Schizosaccharomyces pombe: one gene and its partner. The gene in region 2 interacts genetically with the main gene of each other region. Each region holds a gene or a part of one and is shown on either strand. Other genes may lie near its edges.

Region 1 (5,761 bases), on a different chromosome or scaffold from region 2:
GTTTTCTTTTGACTATGGATTCCCTTGATTTTACGAAATAATCCCGTTCCTTTTTGTGACTTTTACCTTTCGGTAGCTTGCTGACCTGGTGTTTCTTGAATTTTTGCATAGATATACGGTGGCATATTTTAATGCCGATTTACCTAATTTTGTTCTTTTTCAGTCTTAATTATTTTCATATTGAAATGCTCATTTACTTGTGCCATATTAATCTCCAGATAAGACCTTATTTCATGCTCGTTTATCTGCACTTTGTTAATAATTACCATCATACTCTCTCCAATAAAATGGTAATTATTGGTATTATATAACCTTGTTTTTATGTTTATAATGAACTAAGTTTGTCTGTTTATTTTAATTTAAAAAATGTATCTTTTGAAAGAATTAATTTACCAACTTTATTCTTCATATACTTTAGTCCCTTTCAGCTTAAATAATCCTTTTGACCTTATACCTAGAGCCTTAAGTACTCTGAAAGGTATAATTTTACCCTACTTTCCTTTTAATGCACATGATATTAGTAAATGTTATAGTGCAAGTAAACTATTGGAAATCGTTCAGGTATTCTTGATTTTTTAAATCCTTTACACCTTTATTTTTCTTTAATTTGAACGAGCGCATCCTGTTCTTCCTGAGGTAGTCTAAAAACAACCTCGTTGATATTGTGCAGATTGCTTTTCATAGCTTCCTTAAAAAACTCTAGAAGATAAAACTAAAAATGTTAGCCCTAAAAACCAAAACTTTAACCCACCTGCAAATCAGTATTATCCTCATCTTCTGAATTGTCTACGCCAGAAAATTCATCTTTGGACAATTCGTTAACATCTATTGTTAGCCTTTTCTTTTAAAGGTCTCGCGTACCATTAGCTGATAGCCCAAACGTCTCTGCACTGATAGGACCGTCATCCCAATCATCCGCTCCATCATCGGAAACTTCTTCAACAATTGCATCTTTAGACAACGAAACAAATTCCTCTGAAAGTAGTCGCAATATTTTTTCTCCAACGCTTACATATGAATATTCCTCGGGATCTAGTTTTGGTTAATGAAAACTATCAAAAGCTTTTAACATACGAAGTTTAGACTGCGACCGGGTTATAATGCGATTAGAATGAGAGATAAGTTCACCTTTAACTTGAACTGAATCAAGTAGAGGACTGTCAAAAGAATAAATTTTAGTCATAGCAATACAACTTTCAGGTTAGAATTTATATAAGCATCAAATAATATAAGGACATACATTATAGAAATGTTTTTGAAGTTGCTAAAATAAACAAAGTTGTCACACCAAACGGTCATAAGTACTTCAAAAGCCGTTAGCCCTTGTTCATTTAATAAAGACGATGTCAAGAAGTGCATCATTCCCAAAGAGTCCTTAACAATTAATTTGGCAAAAACGTAAATTATACTCTAAATAAAAGTCAGAAACAGGTATTCAATAAGAACTTACTTGAATAAACCGTGGTTGTTCAGCTATTGCCAATCTCTTAATGCAAGAAAGAAGAATGGACTGAAGATCGACCATTTGACTTGCGTGATCAGCCAATTCAAGTAAGATAGGCCCAACTAAAAAGCAGGCGGAATCATCACTCTCTTTGTCAAGTAACTGATGCAAAATAAAAAGAATGTATTGAAAGCCACTACTACCTGAAATCTCCGTTTCCAATAATTGTGGTGTGTCCTTTTCCAAAAGCCCCTTAAGAATTTCCTGAGATAACTGAAGCAGTTCTGTGTCTCCAGAATGAATTTGAGTAATCTTATAAACAGGGGGCAAGACATATCCAACAAATCCATTAGGAAGTGGTGAAGGACCTGCACGAATCAAACAAGAAAGCAAGGTAGCCCCAATATTAACCATAATCGGGTCTTCTTGATTCAGGACCTGTAATAGTTCTGGCAAAGTAATTTCACACATACTTTCATAGTTATTTGCCGCATGGATAATGTCCTCAAAGGTGTCTTCAATAATTCCACAGATGTAAGGATCAGAAGCGTTCGTAGCAACCAAATTAAATAGAAGTGGAATAACAGAATTACCTAATTCAGCAGCCTTTGCACAATCAAGTTTTACCGCAGAAGAAATAGCTTCCACAAGTAATACAAGAGCTTCATCGCTTGACTTCGAAGCATACTGAGAAAGAACTTCCAAAATCATCGGCTGCAAAGAAAGTATCGGTTTGACTTTTCCGACTGAACAAAAGCGCTCAATAGCTTTCATAGCAGCATACTGTACAGTATCAACTTGTAAAGCATTAACCAAATTATTCATTATTATTTGGAAAAATTGAGAGGCTACTACGGTGCTTTCAGAGAAATATCCGATAAAGAGGAAAAACCTAGAAAGAAGTAAAATTGGAGCATCGGAGTAATCAATACGGACTTTGATAGCCTCGTATATGGGGTCCAAGTAATCATCATAAGTGTCATCTGAAGCAGCATCCACGGAACAACATGCATACAAGAGGGCTTCTTGATATATCCAATTGATTTCATTGTTTAATATGTAAGTCGCGGACATTTCTCGTAGACTTTGCTGGATTGGTAAAGTGGTATGCTCTTCAAATGCACTTAGTACGCTGATGGCGGCACCGCGAACCGTATCACTAGCAAAATCCATAGAAAATTCGTTTGCGATATATTCACTGACATCGCTTTCATATACTTCAATTTGATGCTTAGGTAGTTGCGTATATTGCACCAGAAGTGGAATGCAAGGAGGTAAAGGAGGTACGGGGACCGTATTACTGACAAACAAGTTTTGAACAAACTTGCTTTGCAAAGCTACAGAAACGAATAGCAGTAGTTCAACTAAATAACGAATAGGGTATTTATCACCAAATGCTGAATCATCTAAACCATCGCTAAAAACAACTTCTCGTATATATGGATCTAGTAACTTTTCTATAATATTCCAAACAAGTTCGACGAAGGTCACAACGTACGGTGTCAATTTAGAAGGAAACAATTCGCGAAGTTTTGTAAGAGTCATAGCAATTTCTCCCATGATACAAAAATAACCACAGGAATCAGGTAAAATAACTTGTCGATCATCAACGAGGGAAACTTCAAACTTGTGCGAGAACATATCCATCCAAGGGGGAAGTATTTGTTCAAGAAATACACGAACATGTTCAGCTTTCGTTTCTTTATAAATCTCAATAAGTTCTAGGCAAGAACGAAACAGTTTAATTCCTCTAGCTTGCAACATCCTCATGGAATCATTAGGGGGAGCGGAAAATATAAACTGATAGAGAATGGATGCAAGTTGAGGTGCAATAATAAAGAACTGTTCTTCAACAAGGGACTCATCTACAAGCTCGTCCAGAACATCCAGTGAAGCATTAATAGAGTTTTCATTAGTAGATTGTAAAAGATGCAGAACGGCCGGTACAACTTCTGGCCATTCATCGGGATAATCCACGTTTGCAATTAGAGAAACAGCATATGCCACAGCCTTGATTAAAGTGAAATTGTCAAGGCTCACTAAAAGATGTAATAGTGTTTCTCTGACATGTTTTTTGACATTTTCATCGGGTATCGGTCCATCTTGAAATTGCTCAAACAGTGGAGACCAATGGTGAACAATATATCTTTGTAAATAAATGAGAGAACCTTGTCTTAAAGGAACAGAAGCACCAGAAGATGCGATATCTGTTAACTTCGCAGCAAAATCTTCGTAAAAGATAGTTAGTAATTTTTTCGGTTAGTTTATAGCTTAAGTAGCATACCGTGATATTTCTCAAGGTCTCGTAACCCCAATTCGGCTTGTATTCTTGAATTAGGATCAGCAGATTGCACTTGTTCAAGCAGCTTAATGATTTTGCTTTCAACCATTTAGCGTGATAATAGACGTTAAACAATTGGTAGGTTTTGATGCTATCTGCTTAAAGAAAGTAGATAATAATAAATATATTTATGTACAGACGGGTATAGTTAACCCCTTAAAAATGGCTGTATTTAATAATTTTTTATGCAGGTATAATGCAGGTACTACTAAGAGTGAAATGTTACTAGGAAATTCATGTTCAAAGAAGTGGATGGTAAATAGGTGACATTGTCACTTAAATTGCTAATGTCTAACAAAATAGTGTTAATTGAAACAATAATTGCTTGTATTGTTGTTCATTTAAAAAAAAAATTAAAAAGAAAGGCCATGTAACTATTACTATTTTCATTCTTGATTTTCCTTATATTTTAATGTATTGCATAACTGAGTTTTTTAATGACCGACTGATCTTTGAATACAAGAATATACCTAATCAATTATCGCTTATTTTCAACCGAAATATTTATCTGATGGTCTGAAACGAGAGAAGCACTAAACCTTTTCAGCAGAAGAGACAGATATTCATATAGAATGTCTGAAAGAATTTTAACACGTTTTTCAAGCATTATGTAATTTTTGTTCTTTGGGTATACCATTAGAGGCTTTCTTAACTTAAAATCTCATTGGCGAACTACACAGTATTATGTATTAATCGTGTAGTTTCGATCACTGACAAGTCAGAAACCAACCTCCAAATTTCATAAAACTGACACATACAACATTTTAGTGGAATTTTTCTAATGCGTGCAAATAAAGAGAAGTAACGCGTAAGCTTTCCATATAAGAAGTGCTTAATCCTTTGTTTTTCGAAGCGTATCCGGTCAAAGCCGATTAGACTGATACAAACCTTGGGTGAAATTTTCCCTAGCCAAGCACTGTTTGTGTCTTCTTAAATTATATATATCCAATACAAAACGGTGCAAGACATTGTTTTTGTATTTTAATAAATCTCACTAGTTTCACGGAAATTCCTAAAGATGATTGACCTCGATAACATAATAGAGAGATTATATGAAAAACAATTGATTGCTGAGTCCGTTATTGCTTATCTTTGTTCTCTCGCAAAGGAAGTTTTAATGCAAGAAAGCAATGTTGTCAGGTTGTCTACTCCCATTACCGTGGTTGGTGATATTCATGGGTATGCATAGATTCAATATTGCAAAAAGTTCATTCTTTGTGGACATTCTGCTTACAAAGTATATAGCCAATTTGATGATCTACTTGAAATCTTTCGTATAGGAGGCCCATGCCCATACACAAACTATCTTTTTCTCGGTAAGTTAAAATGATGTTCATTAGAATCACATTAGCTGATTACTACAAATCATTAAAACTGAACATTGAGAACACAGCACATGCTTTATTATTCGTTGCTAACTATTTGAAGGTGATTATGTTGATCGGGGCTATTATAGTATAGAAACTATAACCCTTTTGATATGTCTCAAGTTACGGTATCCAAAGAGGATTACTCTTTTGCGCGGAAACCATGAGTCCAGAGGAATAACCCAAACCTATGGATTTTATTCAGAATGCTTAAGAAAATACGGTAATGCTAATGTTTGGAAATATTTTACCGATATCTTTGATTTCCTAACACTTTCTGCAACAATTGATGACACTATTTTTTGTGTTCATGGTGGACTTTCTCCTAGTATTCAGCACATAGATCAAATCCTTGTCTTAGACAGGTTTAGAGAATTCCCACACGAGGGACCTATGGCCGATCTCGTGTGGTCGGATCCGGATCCTAGCGTGCAAGAATTTTCACTTTCGCCCCGTGGTGCAGGTTTTTCTTTCGGTGAAGTTATTGTAACAAAATTTCTAGAATACAACAATATGAAGCACATCTTACGAGCTCATCAACTATGCAGCGAAGGTTATCAAATATTGTTTGAAAAAAAATTATCGACAGTGTGGTCTGCCCCAAATTAC
Region 2 (4,741 bases):
AATACTAATAATAAAGGAGTGGAAATTGTGGGTCAAGAAATTATCAATGCAGTACCAGTATTGAATAAACAAAAATCTATGAAGAAAGAAAGCGGAAGTGCAAGAGCCGACTTTACGTCGAATGAAGGGACCACGTTAAAATTTTTCAAATGTACGTCCGAATTGACGCTAGTCTCCTTAGAAACCTTCGTTTTCTTGCAAAAGATTGTAAAACCTGTTTAGCGGTGTAGTTTGTTGAAGGATGGATACGCTGGTAGCAACAAAATACTAGGCGTAGGTAAACAATCTAATATATCAGCGTTCGAATCCGGCTGCCATCACATTTTATTTAACCCGTTTAGCAAATAGATGAGGTGCTTAATCAACAATAACGACGACAACCTCTGAGCTTCACGAATATGCTAAATTTATAGCGCTTCACTAAATCGTATACCGGTTCGCGCTAAATAAAAACTGATGCTTAAATTCAAATTTCTGTGTTAGTAAAAGAGCAGATAAAGCGAGGATAAAAATGTAGGATGTTGATTAAGACTCTAAATAGAGTAGCGCAGAGAATAATACTAAATACTGAAAGACCGATCCCGTTAAACTAATATCAAATCCATAGCATCAAACAGAGGTTTGTATTATGTATCCTATGAACTATCCTCATCAATAATTGCTTATTATAATATAACATAAACATATACAACTTTCGTGTAACTAGCCAAGGACTACTATAAGTAATATGGTTTATTCATACAATGCTAGTTCCTATACCTATAGAAATTCGTTTCCTGCTGAGCTTATTTTAAGCTATGGGTAAGCGAGTCAAAAACCAAAGACGCTATTTGTAAAATGGCAAACGAAATTAGGTATTCTTGTTTTAATTATAAGCTTAAGAGACATTTGACATCTCGTTGGTAGTAATAGAAACTTGTTTTTTAACTTGTTCCATTCGCTTTAATGATAGCTGCACTGCCCTTGGTACTTTATTCTTGAAACTTTTTAGATTTTTTATATATCACAAAGCTTTTTCTAGTTCACCATTCTCAATTTTAGTGCTTCCTTAATCTAATAGTTGGTTTTGTACGCTGAATTGGTTTCGCATTTAAAAGTGCATTAGTACGTTTTTGAGAATCAAGTATAAGACATTTCAAGTAAATTGAAAAATTCCTGTCAGTAATACTTTATATCTAAGTCAAATGGTGTCATCTGATAATAAAATCCCTCAACAGTATTATTTATCAAACGAAAAATGTCATTAGTCATGAAAAGCTTCATTCGCTTATTTGTTTTGAAATTAAGAATGAAAGTTATGACTACATATCAATTCATTAAGCTGATATCTTTAGTATGCAATCCATTATTTTATACCATCTCCACTTTTTGTAAATCATTAAACATAATATCTAAAGCCAATTTAGCATTATTCAAATTCGAGACTTATTATTTTAAGTTTGTCTTAGAATTTCATAGTTTGCAAACTGTGTAAAATGAAATACGCATGGGTTTGGCAATTATACAAAAAGCTGCTCCCGAGCACAATTAGTTTAACTAGTAAACTCATGCTTTTCGAAATGGCATCAAAGCCAAGATAATTTGATCATATAAAGTTTTATTATTTAAAAGTTCCTATATTAAAATACTGCTATAGCTCACTCTAATCCTACAACCTACATCAAACTTTACATTACCTTGGTCACTTATAGTGAGCACATACCTTGATCATACATATGTCTGCACGATCCATACTCTAATCTGTGGTTTCTGAAAATTTACACGTAAATTAAGATAATTTGAAGTAATTTATTTTAAAATAAAAGATTAGTCATGGATGAAGCGGATTCTTGGGAGCTTTATTTGGCTCTTGGACTTCCCAAAGATGTAAGTATAAATAATCTCATTTGGGAATGCATATTTTATTAACATTTCCTTTAAACTCTAGGCTACAAGTGACCAAATAAAAGAATCATATTACAGACTATCAAGACTGTTTCATCCTGATCGTCACACTGCTGACCAGAAGGCAGCAGCTGAGGAAAAGTTTCAAATTATACAACATGCTTACGAAGTATTATCTGATCCATCAAAAAAAGAGATTTATGACAATTTTGGAGAACAAGGATTGAAAACAGATTGGAATGTTGGATTTCCAGGGAAATCAGCTGAAGAGCTTAAAAACAAAATAAGGGAGCAAATTCAGGAAAGAGATATCCATGAAATCGATTCTTTGGTGCAGAGTCGTTCTGAGACTACGATAGTGGTCAATATGACCCCCTTGTTTGCCAGAAATATTCGAGTTCAGAATGCTCTTGGTTTAGGTGCTGGTACTAGAATGCTGACCCCTTATGAACGATTTTCCTTAATCCAGTGGGTATCTTTTCAAATTAAAAGCTCTTTCTCTATTCCAACATCGTTTTCCAATGACCTCAAAAAGCCGTCTTTCAATTCTTTTTCCTCAGGCTCTTTTGATGATGAATTTTCCGCGCCTTCAGATGAAGATGAAGGCAACCATAAAACATCCTCTCGTTTATCTATAGTCACTGAAGCATCAATGAGACAAAACTCAAAGCTTCAACCTTCCATTTTTGCCGTTTATCATTCTCAGCCCTCTCCTAACCTTAGTTCTGAAATTGGATTTTCTCTTTTGAGGCCAGGTTTAATTACCGTCAAGTCAGTGTACGCTATCAATAACCAAACTTTTATTGTCCCTCTTATTCAAATATCGGGTCTAAAGCGTCCCCCGCAAGCCACCGTAGTCATCGGACGACAAATCACTCGCTTTGGTACTCTTACAGCACGCTGGAAAACTGGTGTGTGGTCACTTGGTTCTTGGGGAATTGCTTCCCCTCGTGGAGCGAATTCCTCATTTTCACTTACTTGGCAGCAAATGAAAGCTATTCCAAATAGTTTGGTCCCTCAACTCAGTTGGAACGCTGAAGTTACTGCTGGTTTAATGTATAGCGGTATTGCTTACAACTATAATTTAAAAAATGCAACTGAGGACTCACCATATCAAATCAAACTCGGGACTTCGATGAGTACAGTAGGAGGTCTTCAGGTTTCCGGTGATACGAGTCGTAAAGTTGGCCGTTATTCAACCTTTGGAGTAAATATTTCAGTTGGTGTCCCAACTGGCTCTATTACGTTTAGTCTTAAGTATGTTCATTTCTCGATTTCTTCTCAACTACAAATACTAATTTTTTTAGTTGGTCACGCCTTGGTCAAAAGATTTCTCTTCCTATTATGTGGTGTAGTGTGTTTGATCGTTCTGCAGTCTTTTGGGGTCTCGTATTTCCGATTACTTCTATACTTGGAGTTGAGCAATTTTTCCTCCGTCCCAGGCGACTTTCCAATCAGAAAAGACTGCGCTTATTACGATTACAAAAACTTAAGGATTCTCAAGAACGCAAGAAAGTTTCTGCAATTCGAGCTGTTAAATTGATGAAGGAAATTGTAGAGAAAAAACAGAAATTGGAAATGGAGAAAGGCGGTCTGGTTATTGAGTATGCCGAGTACCGAGTCGTTAATTGCGGTGCAAACGAACCTGATTTAAAGCAAGATGTGACTATATCAATTGCTGCTTTAGTTGAAAACTCTCGTTTAGCTATCCCTTCTAGTGTTTCAAAGGTAAAACTATGTCGCTTAACATTTCATTTTTGTTTTGATTGCTAACTGTTGATTTAGTCGTCAATTATCGGAATATATCCATTATTTTCTGACAATGAAAAAGAATTGGAAATTGTTTATACTTTTCATCAGCAGCGGCATCGTGTTGTTCTCCGTGACAAGCAAGGTGTTTTTTTGCCTAGTCGAGGTATGCTCTCATATAATCATATTAAACATGTATTAACATCCACAAGAACACAAAATTTTGTCTTAAATGATACGTCTTTATTAAACAATCATTGTTTACATTTTCGCTAAATTAGCTCCTATCACATTTTTTTGTTTGTTTATGTTTTGGCATTTTTGAGTATAAATATTACAACGATTGATCACCGTCTTCCCAGAGCATAACCCTTTCCTTTACTAACACAAGTAAATTTATATTTCTTTTGCTTTGGCAAAAAAGATAATAGCTTGCTTCAAGGGTGACTTACTGTCGAACTTGTTCTCATCTAGCCGGGTTGCTATTTGTGTCTTAGGCACATTTCCTCTTTTGGAAATTTTGATAGAAAATCAGGATGAATATAAAGAAAAAGAGCTTTCTCTTTCAATTTTTGTTCGGATGGATTGTACTGTCTTCGGCTCAATGGCTATCGGTTTTGGATGAGGCAGAGAATTTGAACTCTTCTTTTTCATTAGAAAGTGTTGATTCTTTTGCTCCAGTAAGACCAAGGTTTATAATCGATGAAGACTTTGCTGAAGATTACAACCTTACTGTTGATATCTTGCATCGTCCACTTCAGGAAAATTTCGATTCTTTCTTTCCAAACGTTGAAGCGTATGTTGAAAGTGGAAATTCTAATGGTGATTTGATGAGCGACAATGGTAAACTAGATGATTTAAATTCTCGAGCGGCCTATTCTGCCCTTAAAGCCCTTCAAAACTCTTATGGATCATCCCATCTTTATCGCTTTACACCCTATGAATTGTTTGGGCAATCTATTTGGATTGAAGAAGCACCTGAAGTGAATCATGTCGGTTGGTCTATTATGTTCGATAACCTTGGCCGTTACTTTTTACTAGAGTTGCGCGGTCTACGCGAGGTTACTTTTGCTTTGTTTATTACTTTTTCAATCGTTCCTATTATTAC

The links.
Region 1: mutations in mib1 (region 2) and kap114 together harm fitness less than expected from each alone (positive genetic interaction), as found in Schizosaccharomyces pombe (one large-scale study listed by BioGRID).

What each region holds. Positions count from the first base shown.
Region 1 is NC_003424.3:2,372,552-2,378,312, forward strand, and holds kap114 (karyopherin/importin beta family nuclear import signal receptor Kap14), read right to left. Parts: upstream 4,002-5,761; 5' UTR 3,835-4,001; coding exon 3,729-3,834; intron 3,673-3,728; coding exon 1,451-3,672; intron 1,411-1,450; coding exon 1,241-1,410; intron 1,220-1,240; exon of another isoform or gene 1,194-1,219; coding exon 1,075-1,193; exon of another isoform or gene 1,033-1,074; coding exon 862-1,032; exon of another isoform or gene 826-861; coding exon 752-825; exon of another isoform or gene 713-751; coding exon 593-712; 3' UTR 501-592; downstream 1-500. Other genes in the region: ppa3 (protein phosphatase type 2A), read left to right, coding at 4,804-4,964, 5,031-5,101, 5,214-5,761. UniProt on the Schizosaccharomyces pombe protein: Required for nuclear protein import and mediates docking of import substrate to distinct nucleoporins. Serves a receptor for nuclear localization signals. Mediates the nuclear import of TATA-binding protein (TBP) and of histones H2A and H2B.
Region 2 is NC_003421.2:835,793-840,533, forward strand, and holds mib1 (DNAJC11 family protein), read left to right. Parts: upstream 1-1,692; 5' UTR 1,693-1,812; coding exon 1,813-1,866; intron 1,867-1,927; coding exon 1,928-3,141; exon of another isoform or gene 3,142-3,191; coding exon 3,192-3,612; exon of another isoform or gene 3,613-3,669; coding exon 3,670-3,799; exon of another isoform or gene 3,800-3,802; intron 3,803-3,845; coding exon 3,846-3,865; 3' UTR 3,866-4,169; downstream 4,170-4,741. Other genes in the region: spore wall alpha-1,4-glucan synthase, meiotic Mok14, read left to right, coding at 4,170-4,741.